Ovis aries: one gene and its partners. The protein of the gene in region 1 interacts with the protein of each later gene in a biochemical or structural test. Links are inferred from orthologs where the notes say so. Each region holds a gene or a part of one and is shown in the gene's direction. Other genes may lie near its edges.

Region 1 (5,505 bases):
TCTATACAGTTGAGAACCGCCCCAAGGTTTAGCAAGTCAGAGCACAGGGAAAGCTCGTTGTCACAAGCGGACTGTCTTCAAAATCCTGTGACCCTTCTTTTGATGATGTCTTTCTGCTCAGATGTGCTGGAAACGCCCCTCCTCTCTGAGCTCTTCAAGGAAGAAAGATGTCTTCCCAAAGATCACTGGGTCTCAGGGGCCCCCTAGCCCTGATACCCATGGATACGGGAGCAGCTGGGCAACTGAACTTGACTTAATGGCTGTGTTTTCCAAGTTTCTCAGATGCTTTCAGTAGCCTAGGGGGAAAGTCCCTCTGTTAGCTGAAACTGCAGCCCGAATGAGTCAGTATTTTCCGGTACAGTTAAAAAAAAATAAAAAGGTAGCATACTCTTCATGTCTCCATGGTAACTTACTATGGATCTGTATCCCACTTATGAAATTCCTTCCTGATCTATCCATCTATGATTTCTGATCCAGGCCTGAATGTACACAGAGAAGCCATTAAAATCCGTTCAATCTGCTGGAACTATCAACCGTTTCTGCTCCTGGTGATTTGAGCTGTATAGACCCGGCCTCTGACCTATGCAATGGTGAGTCCTGGAGACCCTCAGGTACCTGTAAACATTAAGGTGCAATACTATCTCAGTTATCTGAACAACTCCTGGGTTCAGGGTTGCCATGGAAACCGGGAACGTTGGCAACAGAGAAGTGAAGGCTGTCTCCCTCTCCCTTCACAGCACTGCGGTTTCTGAGATGCACCAACTTCCAGTCCCTGGCCTTGCCTAAGCTGAGCTATTTCATTCTACACCCACCTTTGGGAAACTAAATCTTCCACCAAAATACTGAGAATCTGATCTGAATCTGAATAGGAAATGTGCACATTTCTAGCCAGAGACTCAAGTATTTCCTGCTAAAAATGGAAACGGGAGGTACCGGTCACAGTTTTGACCATAGTTGGAAGTCAGATAAACTGGAGTTTCAACCCTGAATCTCCCATTTGTGTGTCTTCTGACTGGGCAAGTTATTTGCCCTAAGGGTCAGTTCTCTCATATATAAAGCGAGGACAATGAGGCCTTGGAGAATTATCACGGAGGACTAGCCCAGGCGCTAGAGGTAAAGAACCCGCTTGCCAATGCAAGAGATGAAAGAGATGCTGGTTCAATCCCTGGGTTCAAAGATCCCTGGAGGAGGAAATGGCTATGCTCTCCAGCGTTCTTGCCTGGAGTATTCCATGGACAGAGGAGCCTGGCGGGCTACAGTCCAGGGGGTCGCAAAGAGTCTGCACGACTGAAGCCACTTGGCACAACCCAGGGAAGCCCAGCCAAGGCTGGTTATCACCAAGGCACCGCTCAACTCTAGGGGCGCTTCTCACACGGAGGCTGCAGGATTGGGGCGAGGGGGGTGCTTCCCGGAGCAGGGGGACTTCGTGACTGACCGAGGGTCCACTTCGTACCTTTGTCATCTCAGCGTGTTTCCCGACAGAACGCTCGGAATAAAAACTATCGGAAATCATAAGTCCATAAGCATGTCCAAGAATGGGGCCACAGTGAGTCCCCCGGTGGACCAAACCCCGCGGCCACTCGGTGGCACCAGCGCTAGCTAGCTACTCCGGTCCTGCCAGGGCACCTTTGGGGATTAAAGCGGCGGACCCGGGAAAGAAAGAAAGAAAGATTCGTCCTGAGCTCCCGGGACACACACGGCTCGGGGCGCAGGACTTTCGGAGGCCCAGACCCGCAGCGGCCCTGGGTGAGCGGCCGCCGAGCGACAGCAGGCGCCGGGCGAGGTCCGACTGGGCAGATCCGGCTCCGCCTCCGGCTCCGTGCTCCTCCCCTCCCCTCGGCCCCTCCTCTCCGCACGCAGGCTCCCCGCCTGGCCCCTCCGCCGCCCCTCCTCCTCTCTCCCCTCCCCCTCCGCCCCGCCTCCTTGTCCCTATGTCCCCTCCCTCCTCCCTCCTCCCTCCTCCCCCCGATACCCCGGCTCCAGAAGAGCGCGCGGCGGAGGGGACCGGCCGGTTACTTCCTCCGGCGGCGGCGCTGAGCGCGGTGCAGCCACAGCCCGGATCGCCCCGATCGCCCCGAGCCGGCCCGCCGGCCCTGGCCCGCCGAGGCCTCGCGGATCTCCCGGAGCCCGCCCGCCGTCCCCGGTCCGCCCCGGCCTTCCCGAGCGCCCCGAGCCCGTCCGCCGCCCCCGGGCTCCCCGAGCACCCTACTCGCGCGCCCGCGCCCGCGCTCTCGCCGGCGCGCACCGAGGAAGCCCGGGCTTCGAGCCCCGGGCGGCCCTGCCCGAAGCGGCGCGGTAAGAGCGGGGTCGGGCCGGGTGGGGTGGCTGGGGTCCGGCGGGGGTCGGCGGGCGGGGAGCGCCCTGCGGCGCTCGCTTTTCTCCCGGGGAACCCAGGAACCGAGTTGGGGACGCGGGTGGCGCCCCAGATCCCCGGGGCGCAGCTGGTGTCCAGGCAGGGTGGCGACTATTCGTGGGATTCTGGGGTCGCGCGTCCAGGATCGGTCCGCTTGGGGCTCTTTCCCTGGGTGGCCGAGTGGCTTTGGGGGTAGGTGGGTGGGCGGCGAGCAGGGTTCGAGGTGGGCCCGGCCGTGACGCGCGGACCCGGCTCCGAACTTGGGCCGCGGGGCCTGGGGTCGCCGAGGCGGCTGGGGCGGGCCGGGCGCGCCGGCTTGTTTCACTTGCTTTTGTTTTAAAAGGAAAGGCAGGCGTGAAGGCGGGGGTGGCTCCTGCCGGTGGGCGCCGGGCGAACCTGGTTTCGCCTGGGGGCTTGGGGGACGCGCGAGAAGGTGTCGGAGGGGCCCTGGCGCGCCCCAGTTTGCCGGTGACTTACCGGAGGGCGCCGGGCCCGGCAAGATCCGGGGCGCCTGAAACACCTGAGGAACTGCGGCTCCCACCCCCGCTCCCGGTCACCTGCGCTGTCGCGTCCGGGGCCCGGCCAGGGCGGCAGGCGACGGGGGCCCGGGGAGGGTCCGGCGGCTCTACCGAGACCCCCGCGGGCTCCCCAAGACCTCTGCATTCGGGCCCCTTGATGCCGGGAGGTGAACGTGGGGACAGTGTCGGAAATGGGCTTATGGGTGCGCAAGGCTGCCTCCAGTTTCGGGATCTTACAGCATTTTGGACGAAGGGGTAACAGCGCTTGTGCGTATATGGCCTTTTTTTTTTGTAAGCACTCGAGACTTTTGTATTGGCCTGTATTCAATTGTAGGGTATCCTAAAATAGTATTTGACCTGCAGTTTATTTAGGGAATAAAGAAATGAGCAGCCCCCTTTGGAGATAGGGGTAATTAATTTTAATTTACCGGTAAGAGATTCATCTTGTTCCGTGCAGTGGAAGCGCCTGTGCGATTTCTGCCGTCTCACACCGCCACCAATCAGGGAGATAAATCTCTAAGTTAAGGTTTATTAAAATTATGAATAATATCACAGTACAGTAAACTAGAGCACTGTGTGTCCTGCAGGGAAATAGTCTAACACTCATTTCTGGGATTAGTCTTTCCTCTCCCTAAATTGATAGCTTTCAAAGGAAAAAAGAAAACCAATCTTCAAAAGTGCGCTTAGGGTTTGATTTTTTTTTTTTTTTCCTTTTTCAATTTGCCTAAATGCAAACCTGTGCTCTAATCTCGCAGAAGCAATCACTTGTTCCCATAAGGGTCCTGTTGTTGAGCAAGTTCTACTTGTTTTAAAATTGAACATGTCTGCCATTTACCCAATTTTTTTTCTGTTGTTGCTCAAGAGCAGCGATCAATAGGGCAATGGCAGAAAGGCCTGAATGTGAAATTGATTTATGTGGACTGATGTGGCCTGTCTGCTATCTTCACAAGCCATGTTGAGTAGAACTGTTGTTTAGACGCTGTCACGTCTCACTCTCTGCAAACCCATGAACCCCGCCAGGCTCCTCTGTCCATGGGATTCTCCAGGCAAGAATACTGGAGTAGGTTGCCGTTCGCTTCTCCAGGGGATCTTCCCAACCCAGGGGCTGAATCTGTGTCTCCTGCGTTGGCAAACAGATTCTTTACCACTGAGCCACCTGTGAACCTGTTGAGTAAAACGGGAACTTAAATTTGATTAGCTAAGTGTTTGCCAGAAACCACTGGTAGAGCACTCTGATTCTACATGGTTTTTACAAAACAAATTAAAAGCCGGACAACAAAAGAATTCTATTCCGCAGCTGGTAATTAGAGCTCTTTATATGGGAGTGGTAGACTGCCTTTCCTCGCAGAATTTGTACACAAAAACCAGGCGAGGCTGCTCCATGGCCTTCCACATCTATTCTCGGTCCATCTCCGTGGAGCTCAAGAATGTGGAATAAAGTCTGCCCATCTGGAGAAGGAGATGGGTAACTGACGACACCCCAGATATCCTTTCATTTTGATCTCCTGTTTTGAGGCTTGCTGATGTCATCAACAGGTGACAGGGCTGCTTTCATGCAGATTGGTGGCATAAAGCTCTCCATTAAGGAGCATTTTGCATCTGTGCAAAGTCTTCGAGCAGGAGTCTAGTCTTGTGGTATCTGTGTGTGATCTCTGCTGTTTACTGCTGGGAGGAGGGTCCAGGCCTCACCATTCAGGGGATCCTGGCTCAAGGCGGAGCTCAGGTCGCACCATACCCCCAATGGGATTTGGTCTGCTCCGTGCTCCTGAGGGTCCCCCCGCCCCCAGTAGTAGCCCTGAGATCCTGGGCAAAGTCCTGGGACAGGGGGGTCTCTGTAGCCTCTCAGTCAGATGGCATAACATCTACCTCTCAGGGATGTCAGACTGTTGAGTAAGGTGGCAAGGTGTGGTCCCTCAGCTCAGGCTTAGGTCTTTGAAAGGAGGAACCTACTAGGGCAGTGATCATCCATAGTGTATATTGATATTTGATTGGCCACCCTGATGATGACCTGCCCTCAGAGGTTTTTAACAACTCCCCCCAGCCCCCAGGTGGCTCGGTGGTAAAGCATCTGCCTGCCAGTGCAGGAGACACAGGTTCCATCCCTGGGTCAGGAAGATCCCCTGGAGGAGGAAATGGCAACCCACTCCAGGATTCTTGCCTGGAAAATTCCATGGACAGAGGAGCCTGGCGGGCTCCAGTGCATGGGGTCATGGAGTCTGACACGACTGAGCGTGCACACCACCCCCACCCACATACACCCAGTGCCTCTGGCCTCCCCTGTGGCAGGGACTCTCCTCCCACACTGCCTTTCTAGCCAAGGAGGTGTGTCTGTGTCTGTATGCTGAGTCCTTAGGAGGTCTGGTTTAGCCATAATGTTGACCAAAAAGGGAAAATAAGAAAGGACAAACTCGAATTAAGTAGTTACAGGAAAATATGCTGTTTGCCTCTGCTAGTCAGCCTTAGCCATTGCACAATATTTTAATTACTCAAAGTTTTGGTTGAAACAGGTAGCAGCACCTAGTGGAGACCTCAGAGTGGGCAGTGAGAGATACCCCTGAAGTTCCCTATTCTAGATCTCCAGTTCCTGGTCCTGAAGCCAGGAGGGTGGGTTGCTGTCGTGGGGGCTTTCCCAGG
Region 2 (5,052 bases), on another chromosome or scaffold:
GTCTGACACTGCTTCCACTGTTTCCCCATCTATTTCCCATGAAGTGATGGGACCGGATGCCATGATCTTCGTTTTCTGAGTGTTAAGCTTTAAGCCAACTTTTTCTCTCTCCTCTTTCACTTTCATCAAGAGGCTTGGAGTAATTTTAAATCATCTGCTCATTCCTTAATCTGCTTAATAGCTGGAAAAACTGAAGGTGTATTATTTTAGTGGAAGAAATGGGCAAGTGAAGGTTGTTCATAAACACGAGCAATTTTAATTTTACCTCTTACCCCTACACTGCGTAACCTCTGCAAACAGTGAAGAGCCTGGTTGTCCCTCCTGCCCTCCCCCCGTGGTGCCCCCACATTCTGCAGTTTGACTCCCTCAGTTCAGGGAGCTCAGTAGCGGGGCTGAGGGTGTCTTATTAGCAAGTGCTGACCATGAGCAGAAGCACCCTGAAGGAAATGAAGAGGAGGAAGACCTGGTTTTTATGCTTCCAAAGGTTTACAGTGGAGACCAAAGTGCGAGCTGTGATGATGCATGCGGACTGCTGGGTGTGGGTGTGCCCACCTGGGTGCAGGCAGGCAGCCTGGTGGTACCTTGCGCCCCTGAACCAAAGACTGAGACGCTCAGGGTGGAGTTTGGGTATCAGTGCTCATGGAAGAGCCCTGTGACCCTCGATGCCAGACAGACGCCATCGACTGTCTTGGTGCGCAGAGGACCAGCAAGGACTTGATTTTAAAACTATGTCAGCCACCTTGCTCTAATTCAGAATTGCCTTGTCTTCTTTGTGGTAATCTGTCACAGAGGCTAACAGCTGTTTCTTCTTTCAGTTTTATTTTCCTGACTTACATAAATGGTTTGCGCTTCTCTGGTGGCTCAGATGGTAAAGAATCCACCTGCAATGCAAGAGACCTGGGTTCGATCCCTGGGTTGGGAAGATCCCCTGGAGAAGGGAACGGCTACTCACTCCAGTATTCTGGCCTGGAGAATCCCATGGACTGTGTAGTCTACAGGGTCACAAAGAGTCAGACACAACTGAGCAACTTTCACTTTCACTTTTCATATTAGTGACTGTTCTCGAAACCAGAGCCCTGAGAGAGTTGCTGAGAAAATTATTCTTATTTTTCAAAGAAGCCCTGTTAATTATAGTACAGGCCTGTGCATAGCATATTCCCTACATGGTACATATGTAGTTAGGTCTCATCAACCCCACTACCAAAGCTTTCATTATGTACAGCACTTAGCCGCAGCTTTTATCATTGTTACAGATGAGATGTTCACACTGCAGTAACAACATGACTGAGAATATGGGACCTTCCGCACTTCACCATCCTGGCATACCCTGAGTGTAGACGGAGTTGTGGGTTTCTTTTATGAACATTCTGTCAGTATGGACACAGGAGCAGTAGACACAGGAGCAGTCGTAATGCCATTCTGGAAAATCTTGCTGTTTCCCACATTCTAACACTGTTAAATTGATGGCAAGTGTTGTCACTATTAACCATTGGCCATTTTGGTTTTTTTCCCTCTGCAGAAAGTGAACGAAGGGAAATACCGAAGTTATGAAGAGTTCAAAGCTGACGCTCAGTTGCTTCTCCACAACACAGTCATTTTCTATGGAGGTTCAATATTTTTTTTTGTGTAGTTTTTTTTATTCATATGTTTACATTGCATGTCGAGAAATATCTTTTATAAAACATTACACTAAAACAATACCTGAACAATCTATAAGTAATAATGTTAGGGTTTAAACTTAAAAATATTTAGTAATATAGATAACTACATATAGCTTATAGAATTGACTGGCCAAAAGCAGAACTCTAGTATTTGTTTTTTCCCTTCAATATCCCCTCATTCAAAAGGAGTGAAAGAGGCCAATCTATACTGAGAGTATTAAGTTGTGTTGAATATAAAATTAAAGTTACCTGCTTACTTTTCTTTTATTGCCTGAATTATAAATACATGTTTTTATTTTCCGTGGTATATGTCCACTTTTGTTAAACTGAAAGAAAATTTAAATGGCTATATGAATTTTGGTAGTCTTGTGCTTCCTGGTAGTCCTGGGATTACTGGTGATAGACACCTGTCTTTATAATTGCAGCAGACAGCGAGCAAGCGGACATAGCACGGATGCTCTATAAAGACACCTGCCATGAGGTACTGTCCACACCTAGCACCTGAATGCTTGCTGTTTCCTACATTAACCTGTTTTAGAATTCCATTCTGATATGTACATTTTAATGTTGCCATTTCTTTAAATATAATCATATTTCCATGTTTGACATACATGGTGTATAATGCAAACAGAGAGACGGGGGCCGGGGGAGAGGCTAGAATTCTGGCAGAACTGTTCTCAGAGACTCTAATTCTGGGAATTAGACTTAGTTACTAAGTAACTTCTAGTGAGAACAAGAGGAAATTGTTTTCCTTAACTACCCTAAAGTGAATTAGTTAATGTGACTGCATGTAAATGTGTTGCACTGGGCAGGCACTCAATAAATGTTACCCTCTTTGAATAAAAGATACAAATTTGAGTTCTTACTACACTACACAGGCAAAAAAGCAGCCCAACATCAGCATTCATAATTAATAATATATGAAATATATATTTAGGAAATTTTTTTTTGGGTGGCCTTTCTTATTTAAAACATTCATCTGTAACCATATTATCTTTGCAAAAGTGTCTCAATTTATATAAAAAGTTTTGTTTCTTTATTCCATTTATGATATGACTTTTCCATTCATTAAACATGTTTATTGAGTGTGTGCTATGTGCTGTGTTAGGAATGAAATAGGGGTCAGGATGCTGGCTTCCTGCTCATACAGCTGTGTTCTGAGGAAGGAGACTCAGGAAAAGGAGAGACAAATTAGTTTCTTTACAAAAGTTACAGAAAATATGAAAGAAAACAGAACTAAAATGGAGAATGAGGCAGAGTAAGGGCTGCTTTTATTGGTAGTGGGTATTTTCTGTGGGCATCTCAAGAAGACATTTCTGGGGGAATAGCCTTTCATCTGTGTGTTGAACTGGAAGGTACCGGTGAGGCTGGGGAGCCAAGGGCAGATGCAGTGCGCCCTGAGGAATCAGTCTTTTCTTTCGAGTGTACTCTGGGCCCTCTTGGGAGGTTCAGACAAGAGAGTGGCATTGGCGAACTCAGCTTTGAAGCTTAGAGTTGAAGACTGGAAACACGAAAGAGAATGCTGCTTTACATGCCTCTCTCTAGTTTTGTGCGTGCATTTATTTTATGGAGGCTAAACAGTTATTTTTCTTTTTCAGCTGGATGAACTGCAGCTTTGTAAGAATTGCTTCTATTTATCAAATGCTCGTCCTGATAATTGGTTCTGCTATCCTTGTGTATGTGAAATTTTGAGATTTTCTTTTTTTTTTTTTAACCTCTTCAGTGTCTCTGATGTACTGCTCTAAGGAAGTTTATTCCAGTTTGGTTTAAGATTATAATCCTTCTAAATATTTCTCTTTATATCATGGTTTTAATGAGTATAGAAAACTGAAACATAGGAAAAAAAACAACTTGGGATCAGTATGCATTTCTGACTTTAAAATGAGAACTTTAAGAATGGGAATAAACATCAAATCCCTTAATAAATAAAAAATTTCATTATCTCACAAGAAATCTAAGTCTTTATGTATAGCTGTGTGATTTCCCCTAGAATGACATGTTAGTGCCAATGGTTTCTCCTCTCCCCACCACAAGGGTATAAGAGCCTGCCTGAGAGCTCCCACTTCCTGAGACATTACAGTGCTCTTCAGGCACCTGACGGTCTCATAAAAATCTGCATCTCTGACTTAGTAGGTTGGGAGGAGGGCCTGAAAATCTCCCATTTCTTACAAGCTTCCAGGGTTGGACTATATTTCATGAAGCAAAGTTAGGGTTTTCAGTTTGCCTTTGGTACTCACATGGGTCTTGGTTTCCTTCCAGAGTTCCATGGGCTGTCAGGAGATTCTTTTCACTCCACATTGCTTATGGAAATTTTAATTTTTTGGTGTGTTTCTTGGAGGCAAAAATCAATCAGTCCTGGGGTGGGGGTACATTCTGTATGTTTAGGACTTATAAAAGAAGTATTGCAAATATTATACCTAAGTAGGTCAGTGTTAATGATAAACTTGTATTTAATACTTTACGAGTAATATGACAAGATAAAACGTTTTATTTCCAGATACCTAATCATGAGCTGGTCTGGGCTAAGATGAAAGGCTTTGGATTCTGGCCGGCCAAAGTCATGCAGAAAGAGGACAACCAGGTTGACGTCCGCTTCTTCGGTCACCATCACCAGAGGTAATCATGACCCGCGAGCCACCATCACCCTGGGCCTTCAGGAGCCCTGAGGTAGACCCAGGCCTGCAGTTCCCCGTGCTCTGGGTACTTTGCCATCAGGAACAATGTGAAGTGTGTTTTAAATTAAAAAACAAACCAGCATATAACTTGACTGGGCACCTTAATGGGACAGTTTCAGTAGCAGAATTTAGAAGGGTGAACTCAGAAGGGTGTCAATGGTGGGAATTAAGTGGAGAGCTTCTTAGGATGGTCCCTTTCACAGAATTGTATTGTCCTTGTGGGAGTTTCTACCAACTTGTCAAGGTTCTGTCAGTCATAGACAAAAATAATCAGCTCGGGAGTATAGGAGAGTGTGGGTCTTGTGATCTAAGAATGGGTATGAGGGAAGAACTTTGACTTAGTGTTTTGAATTTCATTAACGGTTAATTTAGAAAAGTGAAGAATTGTTATGCAGAGCTCACCATGAATAAATATAGTAGATACTCTTTAGCTGGTTCCTCATATCTCTGCACCTAGTGGGGAAAGAAAAGGTAGAGACGTAATTATGGACTATCCCTCCATATGTTCAAACCAGAGCCTGCTGCTCCCTCCCAAGCACAGAGCAGGTTGTGATGCTTTGTCCTGGTGAGCAGGTCTGTGGGCATGCATGTCTGCAGCGCCAACTCTTCATGCTGCCTGTGGTTGGAGGGTGGATGGCACAGGCAAGAAAGAAGGGGCACATCCTGTCAGATCGCGGCCCATCTTATTGTGCACAGATTCAGAGAATTCTGAATTC
Region 3 (5,052 bases), on another chromosome or scaffold:
CCATCTGCCCCGTAGGAAATGCCTGCGTTCCTTGTCCCTGAAGCATAGATGTTATCTCATAGCTGCATTTGGACTCAGATTGGGCCATGTCTGTTTTTCAGAGACCTTTTTATTTGTTTGTATTTTGTTTTCCTTGTCTCTAAATTAGTTAAAAATGTCAAGTACCAAATGCTTGTCTTCAGATAGATATGTTTTCTTTTAAAGTAAAAAAAAAAACCACAGTAATGTGTACTTTAAGACATAAATGCTTTTAACACACACAAAAATTACATTGACCAAGTCAGCAGCTTCCATGAGAGGAGGAAGTCCGTAAGTAGTCCATAAGTGGCCTTGAGCTTGGGAGTGGCCCTCCTCCTAGGATGGGGAATTTGGGGTAAAAGGATGGCATTTGGGGAAGTGTGGACATGAGTGGATTTTAGTAGAAAGAAATCATTGTTGAGGCACTGCTATTGCATCTTCACCCAAAACCCAAAGCCTTGTACACCTTGTTTCTTTAAATTCCTCTCTCTCCGCAGTTGATCAATATGCAAGTCAATATAGGCCTAGGTCTGTTCCTCCTTACCCCACAGAGTAATAGAAAAACAAGTCATCTTAGCACTGTCACTTGCCTTTCTCCACTGCACTTCCTTTAGATGAGTCAGCATGTCAGTTTCAGTAGTACAATGGCATGTGCTTAAAGTTTCGTGGAGTATTAACTATTAGAAAAAATACCTTTAAAAGTATTATACATGACTTATTTAAGAGCTACATACTTATCATAAAATGTACCTTGGAAATTGCTTTTCATTTATAATAATGAGGTGCTTGGTGTATATAATTGTGTCTAATGAGCATTAATGAGTTTGAGATCTGAATATTCTTCTTAGAAAAGTTAAATAGTATGGAATATGTAATTATCAAGGGCTTTTTTTTAAACACATTTTGGTTTCGTTAAGTTACTCGGATAAGTGTTTGAGTTGTTTATATTATAATTGTGCTGATGGTGATGTGAAGATATTATTATTACAGTAATGGTCTGAATTTTAAAGAAAAATTTTGTGATAGTGTTTTATGTCTCAAAGATCTTATGTTATAGTATCAGTTTTATAACCTGCTGTTTATGACATGGCTCTGAAGTTTGGGGAAGTTGGAAAGAAAGGAACTGTTAAAAATAAGAATCAGTGGTATGATGCAGAACTTCTGCCATATGTTGAATCGATTAGGACATTTGGACGATGGACAGACAGACGGACAGATGGGTATTTGGGTCTTCTCTGTTAACTTTGAAGCCCTTGGGAATGGAGCTCTTTATGTTGCTACAGATTTTCCTCAGTCAGCCACGGTATTTCTTGAACAGCTTCACATAGCAGAGAGCTTAGCATCGTGCCCTCCCACGTAGGAAACTCGGAGCAGAGAAAGGCGTGGTGTTGCCTGGTCACTGTACACCATGGGTTCAAGGAAATGCAGTTTTGTTTTTTGGAAGATTGTGTCAGAGATCGTAATTAAGTTACTGTTACTTGATACCTTTAGTAATTAAGATATTAATTAGGTTAATAAGTAACAGAACTGACCAACTAGGCGTCTCCTCCGCTCCTCCTCCTCTTCCTCCTCTGTGCCTGTGCACTGAGCAGTGAGGGACCCCGAGGAGCAGCAGCAGGAGGGGCTTCTTAGCTCGCCTCAGTGGAGGCTGATGACCCCCATGTTTTCCCATGTTTGCTGTTTCCCCAGAACAGACTTCTTATGAGCCTCTACATTTAATACACGCTGACCTTGACTGTGTGATCGCTGATTTTCTGGTCCGTTGTTTTCTAACATAGAAGCTTGAATTCTCTTCAGATTTTTGTTCTTCGGGTGCCGCTGTGCAGATGAAATTAATAGAATGGGCTCCTTCTGTCTGCACAGTTCCTTTCTTGGTAGCGGGGTTCCAGTGCTTCATGATATACATAGGTGGTCTTCTGATAAAATTTTACTTGTTTTTCAGTCGTTTTTAACTCACTTGTAGACTTTTCCCTTTTACTTATCTCTTGTGTTTGTCTGTTTGTTCTTATAGCCATCCTGGGGTCTCCAGCTAGTGGAATTCAAAACACCATTGGTTCTGTTGGCACCGGCCAACAGAATGCCACTTCTTTAAGTAACCCAAATCCGATAGACCCCAGCTCCATGCAACGAGCGTATGCTGCTCTTGGACTCCCCTACCTGAACCAGCCCCAGACGCAGCTGCAGCCTCAGGTTCCTGGCCAGCAACCAGCACAGCCTCAAACTCACCAGCAGATGAGGAGTCTCAACCCCCTGGGTAGGTGAAAGGACTCTCGAGAACTTCCTTGTGCAAATGCAGTGTCGGGAATGACGAGCCTTCTGGAGCCCAGGGCTGTTTTCAGCTACTGTTTTACTTTAAATTCAAATTTTAAATTTAAATATATATATATGTAATAAAATTCAAATATATATATTATGGTGAATGGTGTCTTTTAAATGATTAAAATAAAAAAATTCCAGGAAAAGGCTAAAGAGTCAGGTACACTGAAGATGTTACAGGCTTGTAAGATGAATCACATTTGCAAATGAACCAACATTTTTGTCACTTGTGTCTGGATAGTTTTCATAAAGGGCATTTCACATGGCTCAGAATGCAAAATCTCACAGGTTGGAATTAGGGCAGTACCACTTGCCTTGACTCTGCAGCTCCTAGCATTTCTTGGTTGTGGACTACGTGTGACTAGAGCCGACCAGTCTGAATCCGGCCAAGCTAACAGGGATCTCAGAACAGGGTTGTTGTGGTGGTTTGGTTCTTTTCCTAATAAAGTATTTTCACTTTAAAGATACTTCATCTGTTGCGTGTTGGGAAATAGTTGCCCTAATGCATCTCTGACTCCTGCTGGCTAGAAGACTGGGTTGGAGTCTTGAAATGTCCCTTCCAGTCTGACACCACTTCTGTTGGTGGTATAATCTGGAACAAGACTATTAACCTGCATCCCACCTTTCTCTTACTTTAGAACGAATACTGTAGACAAATTGACCTTTTGTCTTCTTCACGTGAAGTTAATTTCTATGATTTTTATCTTCTGATATGCAAAACAAAAAGATGAAGAAGTGTATGTGATGGGAATGAAGCCAGAATCAAAACCGAAGCTGCAGATGGATCATTTCTGATTTTTTTCCATAGCCGCCAAGCATTCATGCTGCCAGCCAGCCTCCGTAGAAATGCTCTTCTTTGGTTTTCAAGTGCGATGGGAAGCAATTGAATTTATACAATTTGACCACCATTATTGAAAATATAACTCCCAGAGTTCCTGCCATAGCATTTATTATTATGAGTCATAAGAATAATTTTCATAAGAATCATTTCTTTATATGTGACTTATCTGTTATTAGGACTTTGAGGTGTATAATTTAGGAGCTCGTTGATTCCTTTTCTTTTTGTCTTTCAGGAAATAACCCAATGAACATTCCAGCAGGAGGAATAACAACAGATCAGCAGCCACCAAACTTGATTTCAGAATCAGCTCTTCCAACTTCCCTTGGGGCTACAAAGTAAGACCCTTGTTTCATTTGGCTCCTGTCTGAGTGACAGTCACATGTTAAAGTGGGCTGGGAACCACATAGAACTCTTGGTTCTTTCTAAAGTGTAGGGCTGTTTCCCTCCCTCCCTTCTCTCTCCCTCTCCCCTCCCTCCCTCCCTCCCTCTTTCTTTCTTTCTAACAGATAACAGAGTTTAAAGTCACATATGGTTGAAGACCCTTAGTTGGATGAATGTCATGTGAGTCACTTTTCCAGTTGGATGACCTGTTCTTCCTCTCCCCTCAGCCCCCTGATGAATGATGGCTCAAACTCTGGGAACATTGGCACCCTTAGCACTATACCTGCAGCAGCACCTCCTTCCAGCACTGGCGTTCGGAAAAGCTGGCATGAACACGTCACTCAGGACCTGCGGAGCCATCTAGTGCATAAACTGTACGTGGCCCTCTCGCCTGTTACTCACATGTGATGGAAGCACTTTGTGACTGATGGCAGTGTGATAGTTTTGCAGTTTCCTGGGTATCTGATTTAACTCCCAGGTGTTCTTTTGTGTCCCAGGTGATCATACCCTTGCAACTGAAGGGGATCACGTGCTTGTTTAGGGAGGCTGGAGGATCCCAGATTCTGAGTGCCCAGTGGATCCTGGAAAGGAATATGAACTTTGACCCATGTCACAGGGGCAGGCCTATTTTCTAAACTCTCAGTGCATGGGGAGCTGGAACTCACTCAGAAGCTTGTCTTATTTTATGGCTCAAGGCTATAGTTGTGGGGAGCCCTGAGAATTGCAGGAATTTGGGCCTAGTAAATACGGATGGCTTCACAATACCATCATACAATTAACATGGGAAATTAATAGTTGATTTCTCCAGCAATTTAAGTTAAATGAAGGGTGACATTAATCAACTCGATTCCGATGGAGTTTTCTTTTTTTTCTCCTTCATTATTTTAATCAAAATTTTTTGTACTTAGTAGTTTAAAGATTAGGAATTCAAAATCATATTATTCTTGAGTTGGTCAAGCACTTATTGTTAATAGCAAAATATTGTTGTGTTTGATTTGTGGATAAATTGGCAGATCAGCATTGTCTCCAGAGAGTGACTGCGCATGAACTAGGCAAGAGATTGGGGGTCTCTCAGCAATGTACTGTGCCCAGAGGTAGACCGCGGTTTCTTCTCTTCCCGGGTCACGTCTGAAATGGCAGGATGTTGACATTGTACTAAAAGTAGGTTGAGAGTACGCGCTGTCCTTTCAGTGTCCAAGCCATCTTCCCGACACCTGACCCTGCAGCCCTGAAGGATCGCCGCATGGAGAACCTGGTGGCCTACGCTAAGAAAGTAGAAGGGGACATGTACGAGTCTGCCAACAGCAGGGTGGGTCAGCGTTCGCGTTCCAGCCGCATGGCCCCCGGGTGACCTGTGACTGCAGGTCTGGACGTGGGGAGGAGGGGGGCTTCCATCAGCCTGCTGGTCTCCTCGCCTGAGGACACTGACCAGGGAGATGTCCCAGCTAAGACTTGAGGTCCTCCCTGCATACCTCTCTTGGTTTGTAACTGCAAAA

What was found.
Region 2: the proteins of ETS2 (region 1) and ZMYND11 form a complex in vitro, tested with the Homo sapiens proteins (2 studies listed by BioGRID). The link is inferred for Ovis aries from reciprocal best matches to the Homo sapiens genes ETS2 and ZMYND11.
Region 3: the proteins of ETS2 (region 1) and CREBBP form a complex in vitro, tested with the Homo sapiens proteins (2 studies listed by BioGRID, with this or other methods). The link is inferred for Ovis aries from reciprocal best matches to the Homo sapiens genes ETS2 and CREBBP.

The regions. Positions count from the first base shown.
Region 1 is NC_056054.1:271,783,017-271,788,521, forward strand, and holds the start of ETS2 (protein C-ets-2), read left to right. Parts: upstream 1-2,010; 5' UTR 2,011-2,295; intron 2,296-5,505. UniProt on the Homo sapiens protein: Transcription factor activating transcription. Binds specifically the DNA GGAA/T core motif (Ets-binding site or EBS) in gene promoters and stimulates transcription.
Region 2 is NC_056066.1:46,443,596-46,448,647, reverse strand, and holds part of ZMYND11 (zinc finger MYND domain-containing protein 11), read left to right. Parts: intron 1-1,519; coding exon 1,520-1,607; intron 1,608-2,086; coding exon 2,087-2,142; intron 2,143-3,259; coding exon 3,260-3,337; intron 3,338-4,158; coding exon 4,159-4,277; intron 4,278-5,052. UniProt on the Homo sapiens protein: Chromatin reader that specifically recognizes and binds histone H3.3 trimethylated at 'Lys-36' (H3.3K36me3) and regulates RNA polymerase II elongation. Does not bind other histone H3 subtypes (H3.1 or H3.2).
Region 3 is NC_056077.1:3,656,001-3,661,052, reverse strand, and holds part of CREBBP (CREB-binding protein), read left to right. Parts: intron 1-2,029; coding exon 2,030-2,272; intron 2,273-3,407; coding exon 3,408-3,510; intron 3,511-3,783; coding exon 3,784-3,930; intron 3,931-4,747; coding exon 4,748-4,865; intron 4,866-5,052. UniProt on the Homo sapiens protein: Acetylates histones, giving a specific tag for transcriptional activation. Mediates acetylation of histone H3 at 'Lys-18' and 'Lys-27' (H3K18ac and H3K27ac, respectively).